3 linked regions of the Nothobranchius furzeri genome follow. The protein of the gene in region 3 purifies or fractionates together with the protein of the main gene of each other region. This does not show direct contact. Links are inferred from orthologs where the notes say so. Each region holds a gene or a part of one and is shown on either strand. Other genes may lie near its edges.

The links. The genes of interacting proteins can lie anywhere in the genome.
Region 1: the proteins of runx2b (region 3) and histone deacetylase 4 purify together in Homo sapiens (affinity purification with western blotting; 3 studies listed by BioGRID). This does not show direct contact. The link is inferred for Nothobranchius furzeri from reciprocal best matches to the Homo sapiens genes RUNX2 and HDAC4.
Region 2: the proteins of runx2b (region 3) and ubtf purify together in Homo sapiens (co-immunoprecipitation; 3 studies listed by BioGRID and IntAct, with this or other methods). This does not show direct contact. The link is inferred for Nothobranchius furzeri from reciprocal best matches to the Homo sapiens genes RUNX2 and UBTF.

The regions. Positions count from the first base shown.
Region 1 is NC_091754.1:47,244,928-47,249,210, reverse strand, and holds the start of histone deacetylase 4, read left to right. Parts: upstream 1-1,438; 5' UTR 1,439-2,000; coding exon 2,001-2,115; intron 2,116-4,283. UniProt on the Homo sapiens protein: Responsible for the deacetylation of lysine residues on the N-terminal part of the core histones (H2A, H2B, H3 and H4).
Region 2 is NC_091745.1:10,210,564-10,214,587, reverse strand, and holds the start of ubtf (nucleolar transcription factor 1), read right to left. Parts: upstream 2,846-4,024; 5' UTR 2,708-2,845; intron 2,213-2,707; exon of another isoform or gene 2,056-2,212; intron 574-2,055; 5' UTR 552-573; coding exon 515-551; intron 344-514; coding exon 171-343; intron 1-170. UniProt on the Homo sapiens protein: Recognizes the ribosomal RNA gene promoter and activates transcription mediated by RNA polymerase I (Pol I) through cooperative interactions with the transcription factor SL1/TIF-IB complex.
Region 3 is NC_091742.1:21,529,956-21,533,518, reverse strand, and holds part of runx2b (runt-related transcription factor 2b), read left to right. Parts: intron 1-1,563; coding exon 1,564-2,039; 3' UTR 2,040-3,563. UniProt on the Homo sapiens protein: Transcription factor involved in osteoblastic differentiation and skeletal morphogenesis. Essential for the maturation of osteoblasts and both intramembranous and endochondral ossification.

The sequences.
Region 1 (4,283 bases), on a different chromosome or scaffold from region 3:
GATAATTTTGGTCACAATAAATGAGGTGAAATTTTCACACCGTGACAACCCTAGTACCCACAAGTATCTCTCAGCTTCACAAAGGTTGGTGACCCCTGGATTAGCGTCCAGGAAACAGCAGGGAACGTCTCGGCTACTAGAAGCTAACCGTTAGCTTTAGCAACTCCACCAGACAGCAGAACTCCTCCAGGCTTGAGTTATTTATGGAGATAAAACATCAACGTTGCTGTTAGCCAATTAGAGGAAAAATGTCCAAATATCAGGAAGTAATCATCCTAATCCTGCCTGTGAAGCTCCGCTCTGACGTGGCTCTCTTCTAGTTCCTGAAACGGGTGCGTTCATTCGTAATAGACACCGCTGCAGATACAGTTTACATGAGTAAACTACCACTTTACTTTGGGTGAATAATTTGTACCACATGAAAAGTACTTTTTCTTTCTTTTATTCAAGTATTGTATCATAGCGTATACAGATAACACCATACCTGTTTGGTATCGACTTTACCAGGTTTTAGTGCATCATACATCAGCTTCCTGCTGCCTGTGAGGAGACGGATGCACGCACAGAGACGAGTTTCATCAGGACCAAACCTGACCGCTGCAGCCATCCAGGCAGGGTGGTGTGAGACCAATATCCTCTAGCTTCCTAGATAATAAAAGTGTGTGTGTGTGTGTGTGTGTGTGTGTGTATTTGTGTGTGTTAGCGTGTGTGTGTGTGTGTGCGGATGTGTGTGTGTGTTAGCATATGTGTGTGCGTGTGTGAGCGTGTGTGCATGTGTGTGAGCATGTGTGTGTATGAGCGTGTGTGTGTGTGTGTGTGAGCGTGTGAGCGTGTGTGTGTGTTTGCATGTGCGTGTGTGTGTGCGTATGTGTGTGTTAGCATGTGTGTGTGCGTGCATGCATGTGGGTGCGTGTATACAGGTGTGCGAGCATGTGTGTGTGTGTGTGTGTGTGTGTGTGTGTGTGTGTGTGTGTGTGTGTGTGCGCGCGTGTGTGAGCGTGTGTGTGTGTGTGTGTTTGTGTATGCATGTGTGTGAGCGTGTGTGTGTGTGAGAGCGTGTGTGTGTGTGCACCAGTCTAGTCCACAGAGAATTCCAGAAATAGACCACGGATGGTGAGACTCTCGCCTGTTTTTCTCTTTTTTTCCCCTCTGAAGGGATTTCTCGTTATTTTTTAAATCTCAAACCCGTGTTTGTGCTGATGTCTGTACACTTTATGCTCAGAATGTAAATAGATAAATAGGTGTGTGTGTGAATACACGGACCAGGTGCTGTAGAACTATAAATGCTCACAGGATGCAGAGTGAGAGAGTTATTAGTAACAGATTTAGGAGGAGGAGATGGATGCATGTTGATTGTTTTTGTGCCCCCCCCCCCCCCCCCCCAGCTTTTTATAGCCATGTCTTCCCAGGGCTCAGCAGCTACAAAAGCCTTTTCATGTTGCCACTATAATTACAGCCTACACACACATGGACATGCATGCATACACACACACTCGCTGGAGCAGCGTCTTTGTGTTGGTGTGTGCGTGCTCTGCATGTGCAGTTATACACAAAAGGGTGAGCTATTTTTACCTCCCTCCCCTCCCCTCCTCTCCATCGCCTCCTCATCCCTCTCTCCGCCGCTGCTGCTAGCCACATTTGCTATGCTGAGCACAGGCGCTATCAGTCGAGCGCCAACATCTCTCCAACTCGCTCACAAGCGAACACACACACTCACTCTCACTCACACACACCAGCTGACGAGCGCTCCCTCTGAATCCCGGCTTATTCTTTAGCTCCGTCCGAGCATCCCTGCAGACGCGCCTCAGCGTTTGCTGCTCATGGATCAGGAAGCAGCTCAGGGGCTCGGAGGTGCACAGCGGCATGTGCTCTCCACCGTGCAGATGACCTGAAGCCCCTCTCTCTCTCTCTCCCTCTCTTTCTCTCCCACCTTCTCTCTTTCTCTCTCCGACTGGTTTTAACCGCCTGATTAGCAGGTTTGTGGCTGGAAGCCCGGCTCAATGCTGCGGACCATCTTTGAAGCAGAATGCTCTCTTTCTCCCACAGAGGGAATCCTGGGAAAGGAGCCGCCGCTGGAGGTCCTCAAGACGTCGGCGCTCAACCACATCCCAACAGGTTGGTCAATCTGTGTGTGTGTGTGTGTGTGTGTGTGTGTGTGTGTGTGTGTGTGTGAGTACGTGATGTTACTATCAACCACATCCTGTGTGACTTTGCTTTTTGGATGTGAGCGAGCCGGGGACACACCGTCTACTTGACCAGGAGACACCATGTTTACATCCCCAATGTTTTATTTAAGCCGCTCCGGTGCTGCCATTTTGCTGAATGAAAATCTGGAACTCCGAATGTTTGCGCGCACGCACGCACGCACACACACACACACACACACACACACACACAGACACACACACACACACACACACACACACACACACACACACACAGCTAAACAAACCCATTGTGCCTCTCAGTCAGTTCCTGAGTCCGTTTAATGTTCCCAAAACAATCTCTTGCAGCTCCCAGTGCTATAAGTTCCCATTCCCAAGTATTCCTGAATGCAGATCCATGTTGTCCGGTAGAAATTGTACAGGAAAAGTGAGGATGAGGAGAGTGGAGCAAAACCAGAGGGGCACAGATAAGGAAGGATAAATTGGTGTTGGGATAGTGCATCCCATAATTCTGTAATAAGGAAGCTTAAACTGCTCCCAGCTTTTGGTTTTTTGCCTCCCAGGATGGTTGGGTGAGTCTAATTCCTAATTCTGACTCCCAGACAGCAGCCAACGCTCCAGCACGCTGCCGTTTCTGCTCCTAGGTTATTTTTGTTTTCACTTCCTGCTCCTGCCTCCGGCTCAGCTGATAAAATATTGAAATCCACCAGAGCATCTTCATCTGATATTCTCAGAATCTGTTGTCTTGGCTACGAAGCTGCTGGGTGGCATGTGACCCGGACCGCTTCTCCTGCACGGAGAGGAGGGTGAAGCCATCTGGGAGTCTTTAAAACGCCCTGCAGGTGAGGATCACACCTGCAGAGGCCTCCTGAACTTTAGCTCTGTGTGTGTGTGTGTGTGTGTGTGTGTGTGTGTGTGTGTGTGTGTGTGTGTGTGTGTGTGTGTGTGTGCGCACTCCCAGCACGGATCCTTTGCGTAACGCCGTTGTGTGATGTCATTAGAAGGGCGACCACCCCCCCGCCCACTGCAGCTAAAACCTGATTCTACCTGGACAACAGATGAAGTGACTGTTGGCTGCAGGACTTTTCAGAATGAGCCCTCATCTGTGCCACATCCATTAGGGCCTAAGGGGCGGGGCTTAGGCAGTCGGACCGTGGGACCCGGGCTCCACGAACCGGGCCTCCAGTCAGAACCGCCAGCCCTCGACATTGTCTGGTATAAATAGATTCACAGCAGGAGCCAGAAGAGTTGTGGAGAGCGCCGGAGGGGTCGTAAACAGATTGTGATTAGTTTGTGGAGTGTGTGTGTGTGTGTGTGTGTGCGTGCGTGTGTGTGTGAGTGTGTGTGTGTGTGTGAGTGTGTGTGTGTGTGTGTGTGTGTGTGTGTGAGTGTGTGTGTGTGCGTGCGTGCGTGTGTAGGGGGGGGGGGTATGAAGGAGTGCAGGGGTGTGCAGAGGAACCCGCTGACAGGAAAGGTCGCTGAGTTAAAGCAAACGAAAAAGCTGTCAGAATTCCCTCTGAAGGAGATTCCTTTGAATCCCGATGCCTTTTAGAGATTCCCTCTGATCCACAAACGCTCCGATCAGACTCGCAGGAGAAAAAGAAAGTGAAGCGTGTGGATTCTCTTCCCTCTGAGTCTGAGCTAAATCAGGCTGCAGATCAAAGAGGATCTTTTTTTAGACCCCCCCACCCCCCACCCCCCCACACACACCTGTCATACAGGTAAGTCTGCCCGTTGTGTAATGTCTCTGGAGCCCCCGCCCCCCGTTTGGGTCGGATGGCGGCTGCCCTCATGTCGTCCTTATCTCACACACATCAGTAAACTCCAGCTCTGGCTTGACGTCAGTGCTCTGAGACAAAGAGGTGTTCAAATCAGAGTCTATCTGTTTATCAGCGAGGCTTCTGATTGGCTGGGACGTCTGCTGTGGTAACAAAGTTCAGGATGTCTTCAAAAGCAGAAACATCTTCTGATTGGTTCTCATTAGGGACTTTAAGACTGAACCCTCAGGCTCATCCAGACCGATGCAAGGAGCCCTTCGAGACAGAAAAGAGACATTATGAGAGCAAAGGAACCTGCACATAAAACCACAACAAGGCGTGAAAGTTTCACGACACTAAA
Region 2 (4,024 bases), on a different chromosome or scaffold from region 3:
ATCAGAAGCTAAAGCAGGAGACTATTTTCTGCATGTTAAACGTAATGTAACAGATCATTTCCAAAAATAAGACAAACTTGTTTCTCATTGGAGGACCTCTTTAAGAACTTAATCTAAATATTACATCTGAAAAGGTTTACGACCTAAAAATCATGATCTGAGCATCTCACCTCTTTAGAGACCTCTTGCCATTTCTGTTTACACATCTCTGCAGTGTAGGAGTTGAAGGCCACCTTCTGCCAGTCCAGATGGGACTCGGATGTTTTGTATTTAGTCAGATCTTTCTGTGGCAGAGCCACTTTCATGGCCTCCAGCAGCTTTAGGAGGTCATCCTGCGACCACACTGATAAAAAAATACATGTAAACTGGTTCATGGATTTATTAGTATGGTTGCATTATGTTTATAGTATGATGACAAAATGTGGAATTCATTAAAACAATTTCGTGATTATACAAGTATTTGTCATTTGTTAAAAAAATATATATAAATAAAAATGACTCATAAATATACTACCTTGGTCATGTGTCGCTGCCTCCATTTCTCCATTCATTTGTGAAAATGCGATTTTTGAACTACAAAAGAAACAATAAATTAATCAAAATCACTAAAATTCATATTTTCTAACTTTATTATAACTGATCTCTGTTGTAAGTCGTTTGAGTTGAAATGTGTGCCGACATAATGGTTTATGTTCATTACACCGCCCCTAAACGTTTACGCTGCATGGTGAGGCATAGGCTATTGCTTGTGACGGCTTCAAATCTCAAATAACACTGCGGAGGGCTTCAACTAAGCATATCTAGCGACGACAACAGGAGTCCCTGTCGAGCTTCTTTTTTATTTTTTTTTATTTTTTATTTTTGGGCCAACCGGAATTTGGCGAATTAGTGCTGTCCTTATTCTACAACAGAAGTATCGTGGACGCTCAGGAGCGACCATTTTCTCGCTCGGTCTGCTCGGTAATGGAGGACTTTCTGTCGGAGCGGAGGTTGGGGAGGATCCACGGAAGGAGGAAGCGAATGAACGTGGACAGACAGGCAGCTGTAGGCGACCAGCTGACCACGGACGGGGGATCTGCTTTCGGTCTCCGACAGCCTGGAATGGCAGCTTGGAAGCACTGCAGCCAAATGCGCCACTCGGCGGAGACGCCTCATCACCGTTGGACGTGGATCTAGCTCCGCCACGCAGCCCTAAAGTCTTCTCCACTAATGTTTACCCAAAACAAGAACGACTAAACTAGCATTCTACGCGTGAGGGGGTTTATGTGTGCGTTTTAGAATAATTCACTCAACATTTTGTTCGCTTTGTGGTATCACGCAGTTGTTTTTTGGACCAAAAAGCCAGAGCATTCTTCAGCGAGGCGTAGCCGAGCTGTGCTCCAATGATGGCGGATGACCGTTGTTCATCTTGTCCTTGATAGCTCAACCGTGTCTCCTCGCGTCGTTTCTAACACTACTTTCGACATATTTCTTATGTAAAATGCGCAGAATGTCAAATTCAAACGTCGGATTTATGACGTTTAGTCAAAAATACTACATAAATGTGGAAAAAAAAACATAAGACGCCGTGTAACTTAGCATGTCGAAAAGAAGCCTAAAATCATACCAGCATCTAAGGTAGCACAGTTAGTCAACAGTATTTGCTACTAATCAAAATTTGTGTCACACAAGGACGATTTAGGGATCACATTAACTTGTGTTTACAACGTATAATTAACATGAATTATTTGACAACCATACAAAATGCTCCAAAATATTCTAAATTAAGTTACACCAGATCGAAAATTAATAAATGTTAGGTTAAATTATTTGCGGAGGCGCGAAACATAATTAAAATAAAAAATATATGTACGGTGAAACAACATTATTGACCTAATTTTGAATTACTTCATGTTAGTGTTAGTTATTCTCCGTTTCGAGGAAAATGTGGGCTTTAATCGGCTCTTTCATTATCGGATATCTAAAGAACAATCCGCGGCTGAGCAGCTTCTCTGGCGCGACAAAACGGCTCCAGGTCCGCCATGCTACCAGCCCCGCTCTTGTAAGCAAACCTACCGTGACAAGGTCCAATGGCGTACTGCGAACACTGAAAACGGAGCCGAAAGCTCTAGCCGGGGCGTTGCAGACTCCCTTCCCTAGCTCCAAAAAGCGCATAAGCGAGGACGGAAAGGCGGGTTCTCCGAGCTCGGTTGTCGGTGGTTCTGGGCTAGTCAGTGAGAGAGAGAGGGGGAGAGGGGAGGGCGAGTCTCCTCACGGTGAGATATTAAACCGAGATCCCTGATGGCTGACCGAGAGGCGGCTAGCTGTTCCGCCAACAGCCGCGTGGAGGTCTCGGCGCGGAAACTACCGGAAAACATTTCCCCACGCGAAACAAACGATTGCTTAGCTAAATCCCGATGCTACGTGAAACTAATTCGCTTCATGAATTCACTGGGTGTAATTTATAGTAGACATCATACCACTGGGTCTTACATCCAGCTTCTTCCCCGCTGTTTGGGCAGAGAAATTCGGGTAAGGCCGACCTCGTCTGCGCCCTTCCAGCGGGGAGTTTGTTTCGTTACCACAAAGATCCTGCCGCCTAAGGAGCTTTGGTAGACAACATTAAAAACAGAATGTCTATTTTTCGACTTTTAACCGCTTTTCTGGTTTGTTTATCGCGCTCTTTCCACGTGTGGTTATGAAACCGACCGACTTTCGTGCTGCTTACCTGTCTCGGCGCGAGCCTCCGCGTCGCTGTGGATGAAGAAGGGGAGGGTTGAACGATAGCCAGCACTGCGCCGTCGGTCCTGGGCTCCAGTCCCCGCAGAGATGGTCCTTCCCCCCGCCTCCATCTCTCTCGCTGTCTCCCTCCAGTCAACGTGCAGCAGCTCTCTTCTCTCCATCCAACCATTTCCGCTACACCGACACATCCCCATGTTCCCCAGTGTTAACGCCGCTGATTTTCTGAGCTCAGCCAGCAGAGTTTATTGTTTCTCATCGAGCCCGACTTTCACGTCTCCCACTGAAGTTTGCATCTCTAACATTTCGTCTGCCTACACTTGAAAGAAAAATCGCTTTACTGGTTACCTAATTTAAACGCCACCAGTGAACTTTTTTTCATTGAACGCACACATCTTTAAAGTTTATAATTGACACCAATCAGTGTCTGATTATTCTCCTAACTCTTATTTCCGGTGTCCGTGCCGTTCCCCCGGCACCAAACCTCTTTGACTCAAACGTAACTGGCTGTTTGACAGCTTCATTTTAGCCCAGCATGTTATTTTTTCAACTCCACCTTGTGTGTTTGTGGGCGGAACCCCCGGCCGTCCAATCCAGTCCGTCCGATTGAAGGAAAACAAAGACTTTCAGGCACTCAGTCTTGTTAAACTGTGCTATGTTCACTTACAGTAGGAATAAAGTATTATTGGATTAGTGTCAGGAATTTAGCTAACTGGACAAAAACAGTCGTCTTTTGTTTTAGTTTAGTGATTTTAATATCAACCTTCCCAGGCACTACAGGTGGAAATTAGCATCCCCACTATAACCTGGTACATTGCATCTTTCTTTTGTGGTTAATGTCAAGTTGTGCACTGTCACTGTTTAAATAAACTTCTACAATTACAATTAAAATTATATAATATAGTTTGAAGAATTCAATTGTGTTATCTTTTTTGTTTACCTTAAATTTCAATTATCCTGTTCGTATTTATCTTTCACAGTAATTTATATCATGTTTCCTGTATGTGGTTACAAAGTATTAAATCGAATTTAACGTGTAATTGTTAATTACTTTTTTGTTTTGCCTTTGATGAAGATTGAAATCATGAATATGGCTGAATAAAACTAGACAATACTAGACTTAAAAATAAAACCAACTATTTAACCTATTAGCAGGATAAAAAGGCAGCTAAAATAGTAATTTTCCCATGTAGAATATTATGCTTGCGTATCATGTTTTTAGAACGTTTATGTTTTAAATAGTATTTTAAACATAATATAAGAATAACGAACACATTTCTCTCTGAGGAACAATCCTACTATAATT
Region 3 (3,563 bases):
CCCCTACACCTGTTTGACTCACAGCTAGGAGAACCGTCTAACTTTTTCTGTTTCCTTGAGCTAACACACTCTGCTCTGTGTGTGTGTGTGTGCGTGCGCGCGTGGTAAGTGAGGGCGAGTGATTAAGCGATGCAGCCGTGTGACTCTGCATCAGAAGAGGTTTAAAGTCCAGCCAGCTGCCCTGTCAGCTCTGATTAGCTCGGTAGCCCCCCACCCCCACCCGCTCCTTTTCCCCATGCAGCTTTCATCTCATGCGTGTTTGTTCTCCGGGTGACACGTGTGGACGGGCGATTGTGCACGCGCAGACACGAGCCTCTGCACCAGATTGACACCTGTGCTTAGCACGCCTGAGGCTCTGGGATCTGCAGAGGTCACGCTGACACCTCGCCACGGTGAGGAGCACGCCGCCGTAGATGCTCCGTTTGCAACCTGAAACAATCCAGCTGCTGAGAAGTTCAATTTCCCGAGAAGCTTTTGCAGAATGTTCATCGGCTGGAGTCGTGACGCCTCCCCTCGGAAGTGATGTTTCCAAACAAACACGGTGGTCTCCTTTCCGCTAACAACGTTTCATCTTCAAAGTGAGAAACGAAGAGCCGAACAACTAAAGTCACACTTCTTTTTCCACAATCGCCCACTATTCCTGTCGGAATCAAACGGATGGAAAATAGGAAGTTTAAAGGCTTTAATTTGCAGCATATGCTATCTGACGCTAGCGACAAACCCAACTTCGCAATCCCTCCCTGCACATAAACACTGCGCCCTCCTCCTCCTCCTCTCGGAGCAGACATGGTGACACGGAAGACGCCTGGTGATTTATGATAAGAGCTCCATGGCTGCACTAAACCACCAAGAGGATGAAGGGAAGGAGGGGGATGTTGGAGGAGGAGGAAGACGAGGACCTCCTATTCTCCTTCAACTCCTGGCGAAGCTCGCCACAGCCAGTTAGTGGTTTTTGGGTATTGTTTAAGGGATGAAGTGAAAAGAGGAACGAAGGGTGAGATGGAGCAGCTCCTTCTCAGCTCTGGACTCACACACACACACGCAGACGCCGGAGCCGATGGGAGGCGAGGAGAGGAGCCACATCAGAGCTCAGCCCTGCCTCATTATGGATCTCATGGAAACTGTTTCTGCGCAAAGTGTTTCCACATGTGCAGCTCCTGATTCATCCCAACTGCTTTTTTATGTGCATACAGTATTCACACACACACACACCATTTGCACACACATTTGCATGCATAAACAATTATATGGATGCACATAAACATGCACCGACACACACGGAGGGGCAGCGGTGTGCATGGGAAATGCAGGAGAGTGAAACGCTGCAGAAAGTGATGAATTTAACGGATCATTTTATCCACACCGGTTCATTCACATATCTGGTTTCAAACAACTTCCCTAAGTCATTGATTTAAGTTTTAATTCCTGACACACTTAAAGGATGCCATCATAACGTGTGTGTGTGTGTGTGTGTGTGTGTGTGTGTGTGTGTGTGTGTGTGTGTGTGTGTGTGTGTGTGTGTGTGTGTGTGTGTGTGTGTGTGTGTGTGTGTGTGTGTTGCAGGCTCCTCAGACCTGAGCCCATTCCCGGGTCAGTTCGAGCGCCAGTTCCCGAGCCTTTCCTCCATCGCTGACAGCCGCTTCTCCAGCCCCCGCATGCACTACCCGCCCACCTTCACGTATTCGCCACCCGTCACTTCGGCCATGTCGCTCGGCAGCGCCCACTACCACTACCTACCCCCGCCCTACCCGGGCTCCACCCAGAGCCAGAGTGGACCCTTCCAGACCAGCAGCACGCCCTATCTCTACTACGGGGCGTCATCCAACTCCTACCAGTTCAGCATGGTCCCTGGCGGGGATCGCTCGCCTTCTCGGATGATCCCACCTTGCACTAGCGCCTCCACGGGCACCTCCCTGGTGAACCCCAACCTCCCCACCCAGACAGAAGGAGGGGTGGACGGGGATGGGAGCCACAGTAACTCCCCAACTGTTCTGAACCCCGGAGGCAGGATGGACGAGGCGGTCTGGAGGCCGTATTAAAAGTCGACTGACGTCTGAAAGCACAAAACCAAAAAAAAAGCGGATTTTTTTTCAGGCCTTGCCGGCTATCTGCTGCTTAGAAATACAGCAGAGATGAAAAAGAAGAGCAGACTTGTGCCGACTTGTCTTCCTGGAATGTGTTTTGACCGCGGCGCTACGAAGGGAGTCGTTCTCGCTGCAACGGTTTACTTGCAGCTGAGACGCTTCTCTGTTTTTAATCCACCAGCTGAGGGATGCTTTCTGCCTCTTTTGTACAGAGTTTCTACTTCCTTACCGCTTTTTGTTTGTTTGATTGTTTTATGCAGAGCATGTTTTTGTATGACAACAATATCACCATGCAAGTTAAGCACTGAGTAGCAGATGAGACAGTTTTGACAATCCTTGTTGCTTAGAGACAGTTAATTTATCTTGTACATTGTGGGTGAAACTTTGATGTAGATTGAAGCGTTTTTAACTTATGAAGCCATAAATTATGTATTGTATTTGAAACTTGAGTCGAAGGAGTGTAATCTGAATATTTTTGATGCGTCTAAATGACTAAGTTAATTTTTTTATAGGTAATTTAAGATTTATTTGGTTTTCTGTTGTAGCACCCAAAGATTTTTAATCCTTATGAAATATAATTTCCAAAGAGTATTGCGGCATGATGGAGGTTTCGGTTTGACTCGTTCGGAGGCCAACGTGTGCGTGAAAGGCGTCGGTATTTATTCAGCGATCACTTGCAGTGTGCCTCTCGGTAACCGATCGGTAAAAACGGCTTCAGTTTGGGAGAAATCGTCATCATTTAAGGACTTTTTGCTTCATTTTTTTATTCCGTCTTGTCAAACGTGCACTTATATAGTTGTAGTCCTTTTCAAAGTCAGAAGTCCAGTGGTGCACTTTAAAGCATCCGGTGGGGCTTTCTAAGGTCTGGTTGTGTTACATGAACTCCTCAGGACTGGAATTTTGCTCCGATCATCTCGCGGATTTGCAAAATCTGCATTTTTATTTTTCCCTTCATGCGCAGCCTGGCTGAAAGCTTGCTCAGGATTACAGCTTACACATGCCAAGTCTATTCTAGCTTTTGTATGCGTGAAGAAAGATTCTCCAGTTGTTTCACTTTTTTTCCGTCTTTAAGACAAAAAAAGAACATTCCGAGTTACATTTATCTCTAGTTTTGTTTTGATTTAAAAAGTCTTGGATGCTCTGGGTTCATATTCACCAAGACTTTGGGAGATTCTTTAAGGAAAAAGTGCAAAAAAACACAAATAAAGGAGGTGATTGGATTCAGCTGCTGGCAGCAAACTGGTGACCAAAAAGCGACAGGAGCTTTGTGTCTGTTTGTTTCATAAAAGCACTTATTTCTTGTTTTATTTCTAGCAGCACTTGCGGCTGGCTGCCAGCAGAGCTCGTGGTTTTGGTCCTGCCGCCACACACACACACACACACACACACACACACACACAAACTTGGACAGACCATGCGTTTACATAGGAGTTGAATCTGAACTCACAGAGCTGTTTTTTGTTTAAAAACAAAGAAGAA